2 linked regions of the Neodiprion lecontei genome follow. The protein of the gene in region 2 binds, or shares a complex with, the protein of the main gene of each other region. Links are inferred from orthologs where the notes say so. Each region holds a gene or a part of one and is shown on either strand. Other genes may lie near its edges.

Region 1 (3,599 bases), on a different chromosome or scaffold from region 2:
CTTGACAGGCCGTTTATCACGTAATCATACCTGTCCTCTATCCCGAAGCACGCACAACATACGAAATTCGATCGATATATGTCATTTTCACCCTGTGTATCTGATACCTATGAATAATAGCATTTAACACTACCACACAAGTTGGTTAAGGAAGGCCACGCCCCTTTCTCTCCTATGCCATGGCATTCACTCGCGTGACGTATCTGTACATATGTCACCGCATAAAACTTTACTGACTTCGTTTATTGCATTTGCTTGCAACGCCGAAGCAACGACTATTTTTATCACGATGAGGTATATCAGAATGAAAGGTATGCGTCATTTGTGGTTGACATTTGAAACGTTTAGGTTAAAGCCCAAACTTCCCTTCGACTTTCCAACAAATTATTTAGTTACTCAAAATTAACGCAGCTGCAATTAATCGTGAACCGTCTCTAAGATTTTTTTATCGTACATACGATCCCTGCGCATATAGCGTAGAGTTCCTATGTATCTACTAAATAGATCAATTTGAAACATTAAACGGAAAAAAACAAACCCAGTGACTGTTTGCGGCCATTGGGTAACAAAATTAGTAGTACCGAAACCTTGTAGTCTGCCGGTTAATTTTCCTCGACGTCATTGACAAACTATCTAACTATTCGGGAACGATTAATTCAAATTCTCAAAATTTTCGATGAATAACATTCAAAGTCTAGCATCCTTGAAACAAATTTGAATTACACGATTGAATTTATAGAAGTCATGTGTAGTGCACCTGAAATCTTTGCTGCAAGGTAATTTGAATAATTACAATGGTTTAAATTGAAGAATACGAGATTCCATATTTAGGTTATATCATATTGTATATATGGATCAGGAATAAGAATATTTAGTCAGAATTTAATGCAGGAATTTATTTCTTCTTCTTAAACTTTGTTGGCACTTCAGGTTGAGGCTTCTGCCAGTCTAGAGGCTTGCGACGATACATTGGCCATGGCGGAATCGTGACTATGCCAGCCAAAACAAAACCTGCCCCCAAAATGTAAATAGTTTGGGAAAATTGCTGTATTGCATAACCCCAAACAAGCCCAACCACCTGGAAAAACAAACATTAATATATTGACTATTCAGCAATTTCAGTTATACAATAAAATATGAATTTAATAAATCAACTTACTCCAAACAATGTGACAATTACCCTGGAGAGTTTTTCTGCCCTGGCTTGCCCGTCATAGTCCTTTAAAAAGTCAAAAAGATACACACATAGTTAATTACGGCTAATTATACTGGCCCAGAAGGGAAGATCAGCAAAATTAACGCTGTAATGAGAAACTGAATCATCCTCCATCGAACCACTGATAAAGAAGAGCTTAGGATTTTCTGAATAACTTCTTTGGTATAAGCATATAATAGAAATATCGTGAAGTCGACGGGAAAGAGCCAAATTTCAAGTGATTATCAGTTTAATTTGATATTGAAGCTTTCTGGGAGGTTATGAACTACTGCATATATGAGATATTCTATACGTTTGATTTTAACAGTCTAAGTCAATTACGAGGTGAGAAACGTACCATGTGTGTTGGCAGGGAGTCAAAGAAATCCATTTTTATAGAATTATACAATAATTTACTGCCCCTTCACTAATATTTAAAACCCACAGATGGTGACCCGCATGTGACGTTGCACACAGTTCTTACCTGAAGTAAATCACAAACTTACGAAATGTTATAGAAAGTACAGCCGATGTAAACTGTATTGGGTGTAGATCAGTGATAATAACGATGTAGGTGACAAAACTCGAAGGAAAATTTCAATATTTTTGGACAAAAATTTAAACTCGCCTGCGGCAGTTGAAAGAACCTCATCGAATAGTTCGAATTTGAAACTAATTTTTTTTTATTCGCCGATATCGTAACGTTTGTGACAATACTTTTCCGAAATTATGCGTTGCGAATGACAATATTACAAAGTGCGAAACTCGTGGTGTGTATTTTATGTACTTTTTTTTGTATACGTTTTACGCGTAAACCTTGGTGTAAATAACGAATCGGGGATGAGAAGAATAATAATAGCTGTGAAAGAAGGGTCTCTCCGCTCATTCGCCGAATGGTTAATCACAATGGCGACACCCTTGGCAACTGTCGAACGTGAAATATAGGTTATTAAGAGTATAGTCCTTTCGAAGGTATTATTTATTTGAATAAACTATTATTGTCTCAATCGCAATAGTATGTCGTATATAATTCTGGCCATATAACACACGTATACGACGACGACTGCGACGACGACGACGACGACAAGGACTACAATTTTTACTGTATGAAAGGAGCGATTTTCTTTTGAAAATACTTATAATGGCTGGTAATTTAGCTAACGACACAGACCTCGTACAAGAAATTAAAACACTGCTATGGGGTCCTTCTGTCAAATACGACGTCTTCAAACAGTGGTCTCAAGGTTAGATAAATAATCTCACCTCTCACATCATGTCTTTCAACATCACCCTTGCTGTATTTTTTTTTTATCGTACTTTTCCCCTAGACGGTTGAATTATAAAATGCGAAAAAAAATTAGCTTCATTTGATTTTAACACACCTTTTCCATATGTAGCAAGATCAGATTCTTTTCTTTACTGTGAATAACTAAAGGAAGCGGTATAAAAAAAAAAGCTAAGAAACAACACAATCAACATCTCAGAACCAACAATTTGTTTTACAGGATTTTTTTTTAGCAATGACGAGCCGACAGCTCTGGTCCAAGCAGAGGGAGGTCCGTGTGCAGTGATAGCACCAGTTCAAGCTTTTATACTGAAAGAATTACTACTAGAAAGCGATATCACTAGTTGGAAAGAGGTCGGAACCGAACAGTGTAACTTCTTGCTGGTAAAGGCAATGACGGAAATAGTAGCACGTGCCGCGGACAGCCTGCAACCTAGATACTGTATAGTTCGAACAATGGGACCGCAAGGGTACGGCACGACATCTATGAATTGTGAAAACATTTCGAACAAGGTACCAGACCTGAAATCTCCTGAGGAAAATAAGAAGAATGACCAACACCACCAGGAGACAACAAACTCAATGGAAAATAGACTGGAGCTAGAACCCGACATTTTTCATTCGCAATTGAGGTGAGTATTCAGACTTACGTGTTTGAACAATACCAAATAATGACGATATCAGGTGTCGTGTGATTTAATAACGACACTCAAAATTTTTTTTCAGGATATTCACGATTGATAATATGGATGAGTTGAAAAAATACTTCACTGACCAAATTGATATGATGAAAAATCAGTTTGGCATTTTATTATTCCTATACACGGTAGTTTGTACGAAAGGTCTTGCAGGAATGCAATCAGAAATGTCTGACCCCATGGAGCCACTCATAGACTCGACTTACGGCTACGGCAGTCAAAGTTTGATCAACTTAATGCTTACTGGGCGCGCGGTCAGCCACGTATGGGACCATGATCAAGATGTTGGAGGGCTTAGTTAGTTTCAAACAACCTATTCCATGACTTGTGATTGAGTTGTGAGAAATAAGAAAATGAAAAAATCTGTCCTTTATCGCAATTCAATCAATTAAAGCATCATCTTCATTTCTGATTTCAGAAC
Region 2 (3,733 bases):
CTAGGATCATTTGTAAACTATATAAAATCAAACGCTGGTATATGTATGCATGTACATACATATTCCGTTGCAACAATTGAGTAATTATAAATCATGATTTGATGTATACATACATACCACATCATACAGATTATTTCTTTTTTTTTTTTCTATGGTGGAATTCAGATGCTTAGCGATTCGTATCGTGATCTATACTTTTGTAATTGATCTATTTACTTATACTATATACAGATGAAAATAGAAAAAAAAATGAAGAAAAAGAAATTCACCTTTGTGCATTTCGATGATATGAAACAAATGGAAATACTGTATTGTTCTGAATATAAGCCGAGGTTTTTTTATGGTTGAGAGCACTCGCCAAAATTGTCCTAGTCTTACACACGTTTTATGAGCGGGTAACTGTGGCAAACACTCTAAGATACTATCTCAAAATTGGGGGTCGTCTTATACTCTGAACAATACAGTGATTAGATTTTCATTCTTCGAAAATCTCAGACGATCATTATTGGGATGAAATAAAGAACCACATCTTTATTTCATTATCTCGTTTATCTGTAATTTAGAAGAAATGAAATAACCAAGTTCAATTACATTTATTCTAATTTACAAAATTTGCTATAATTTTAAGATTTTATCAAAGAGTAGTTTTCACGGTCTTTATGGAAACATTCTCGAGACCAATTTGTCTCTGCGTTTTTATTTTTGAGGACTGAAAGACGGTTGGTTTCTATTCAACCAAAGTTTCAATTAAATTATATTCAACAAAAAATTACTTGGAATAACTACGTTAAAATAGTGAAAACGGAACGCGCGAGGAAGAGAGATTCTTTCCGCCGCCAGTATTAATAAATAGGTACATACATAAACATATTTAAGAAAGTAGAAAAAAAGTCTTATACTCGAACCAGACTGTTTCTATTTCTTACTTATCACCAAATTTATTTGTCCTTGCGACTGGCAGTCAGACTATCATGCAAGTTACTGACCATGGTTTCAACCAGTTCTGGAATGATAACGCCGTTGCTGTCTATGAATTTGGCCACGGAATTCGTGACTGAAGCCTCGTTGGACGTTCCGGCTTTTTCATCCCTTACCGAAAGTACCAAATTGTATTTGTCATCATATTTTTTCAGGTATGAACTCGCCTCCCACACCAATTCTGGATCGAATCCAGCCGGGTCTCTACAACAACCGAATTGAGAGAGAGAAATTAAACCTGTGCAATTCATAGCTTGCTAATTTTCTGGAGATCATTCATCTTTCTCTACCTTTGAGTTGCTACCACAAATATCCCCTTTTCCTTGTACGTTGTGTATAATGTCAGCACCCCCATAACGACAAAATACTTCGACACGCAGGCAATTAGCACAGGCTTGGATGCTGGGAACGGATTCATGTAGTCCCAGAGAAGAGCAACCATTGCAACCCCGACGGCGATGCCGCACAATGCCAATCTACCGTCAAGTAGCGAGAAATTCTCCACGTAATTGTACTTTCTGGTCAGTATATCCTTGACTGCATCGTCCAGAGCATTCTTCACTGCAGAACCATCCCACTTGTTGACTTTGATCAGCTGAAAGGAGAATGTGTGATACGTAAGTTGGAAATTTTTCACTTGAAATTGTATGAATATTACGAGTAAATTAAGGTTTTGGGTGAATCCTTCGAGACGTTGAACGAGTTACTGATCAAACCAACTCTGCACCACGTCAAGTGTTCCGTTTCTGTGATTTACCATCACCATATTGCTGGTCGTATTTAACCTGTGATCAAATAGATTTTCGACCAAAAGTGGCTCTGTCCCTTCTATTCTCAATACTCACTGCAGTTTCGTCCTTCTGGTCTTTTTTACCAGCCATTTCGAACATGTTGAACAATGATGTTTTGCCGATGTAGATGCTTATCCTACTCGGATACGGCACGTCACCAATGATTTTTATAACCTCTTCTCTGCACGGCGCTCAGGTGCCGCTACCTTTTTCTTTCTTTACCCACGGAATATTAGACTTGTATATAGAGATGAAACGCGAGGTATAAATACTGATATCACAGTTAGATATCGAGACCAGTGACTTACAGAGTTGATAGAGAGTCCATGATATACATAGGCCGTGTTCGTAAATTGACTGACAGTACTGAAAATTCCCTAGGACAGAGTCAGAGCTATCCACGAACTTGGAAGCGCAAAAGAGATGAAAGATTGCTGACAGTACTGTCAGTCAATTTTCGAACACGGCCATAAACGTTGACTGATGTATAAAGGTAAGGTGTGTCTCTGCTGGAAGAACACGCCTGGAACATACTTGTCTTCTTACACCAGAGTCTATGCGGTTGAACCATCTCTGTGTTTCTCATTATTCAAGGATGAGGATTGAGGATCCGGCATTGAAACAACCGAAACAACTACAGCAACAGAACGGCAACTATACCTGCGTTCACGGAGGACGGCAAAAAGTCTGTATTGCTATACGCACGGTTCGCAACATCGTATCGGGCATGGTATGCATCTGTGATCGCAACTCCATCCATAGATCTACCACTATCCAGTCGCGACAACAAGCAAAGAGCGCGGTGGACGACGGTAAAAGGAGAACGGTATATGGAAAGAACACAGGAGGCCAGTCGCTGAGAGACGTAAATAGGGAGATTCGGGTGTCTTAATTTCATCCATCCTAAATCGCCATCGTCGCTCCGAAGATTGGACCGGTAAAAACATTCACAGATTCGAGAGCTCTGAGCATCGTTCAATCGCAAACTCCAGTTTTCCTCTCCTCCTCCCCAATTTACCCGGATTTCGAAACGTACGCAGGTATGTACGAACATGTATGCATTCATACGTGCAATAGCTTGAGAAGCTGAATAGAAATAAGAAATATGTAAGCATGAAACAGAGGCAGGTCCGTTCTCATCCTCCAAGCGTTAATTCATCTGTCAATCTATGCCGTGTTAGCGAAGCTGCCAGACAGAGTCCCGACTGTCGCTTCCTCCGTTCCGAGGAGATCGAGTCATGGAAGGCTAGTGAGGACACCTAGGTCTCTTCAATCGGCTAATGGGCCCCATCAAATCGTCCCGATGACGACGGCGAGGTGCTGATTTCGGGTGAGCGACGTTATTTGTCGATCTTAAATCCTCGTCGCGTCAGTGTATCATCAAACAAAACACGATCTCACCACTTTTCGCCAACGTGTGTAACACTTTTTTTTGGTCATGACGCTTTTTTTTTCAGATTTTGTCGATACGTCCGCTGATTTTGAGCACTTTGCACAGGTTTTATGACATCTTACGTTCTCCTTTTATTTATCTAAAAATCAAACGTGCATCTTTAAAACGTCATTATGATCATTGTCATTTTCTGGTCATCATTGTCATTGTCGTCACTTCTTAATTTCCTCTCTGCCCGTCTCTATTATCTTGCTTTGTACGTACATTCAGTTTTCAACTGTTTGTCAAGATCCTGACGTCACAGCACATAGTACAGTTCATTTTCTGCTTCCGTTTGCTCCATAAAATCCAACACATACTTGTTGCAACTGCCCAAAGATACCTTAACCTATTTAAATCAGTCTGTAATTCGTGAATTTTTTTATTTGTAGATTTTTTGTTCTATCGACTGATCCTCAGAGGTAACTTCGGCATCTTAAAAGAATTTAGTAGTGTTAAATGACTTGAAAACGTCTGTAAATAATTTGTAAAAAATTATAGAAGGTTACTGAAATTTCATTGAGCAAGAAAA

What was found.
Region 1: probable signal peptidase complex subunit 2 (region 2) and signal peptidase complex subunit 1 share a complex: the UniProt entries of both Caenorhabditis elegans proteins name them as parts of the signal peptidase complex. The link is inferred for Neodiprion lecontei from reciprocal best matches to the Caenorhabditis elegans genes spcs-2 and spcs-1.

The regions. Positions count from the first base shown.
Region 1 is NC_060263.1:14,753,657-14,757,255, reverse strand, and holds signal peptidase complex subunit 1, read right to left. Parts: upstream 1,715-3,599; 5' UTR 1,587-1,714; coding exon 1,554-1,586; intron 1,220-1,553; coding exon 1,160-1,219; intron 1,079-1,159; coding exon 896-1,078; 3' UTR 799-895; downstream 1-798. Other genes in the region: ubiquitin carboxyl-terminal hydrolase MINDY-3 homolog, read left to right, coding at 2,337-2,439, 2,701-3,112, 3,207-3,475, 3,597-3,599. UniProt on the Caenorhabditis elegans protein: Component of the signal peptidase complex (SPC) which catalyzes the cleavage of N-terminal signal sequences from nascent proteins as they are translocated into the lumen of the endoplasmic reticulum. Dispensable for SPC enzymatic activity.
Region 2 is NC_060264.1:23,008,084-23,011,816, reverse strand, and holds probable signal peptidase complex subunit 2, read right to left. Parts: upstream 2,000-3,733; 5' UTR 1,869-1,999; coding exon 1,824-1,868; intron 1,574-1,823; coding exon 1,269-1,573; intron 1,183-1,268; coding exon 939-1,182; 3' UTR 737-938; downstream 1-736. UniProt on the Caenorhabditis elegans protein: Component of the signal peptidase complex (SPC) which catalyzes the cleavage of N-terminal signal sequences from nascent proteins as they are translocated into the lumen of the endoplasmic reticulum.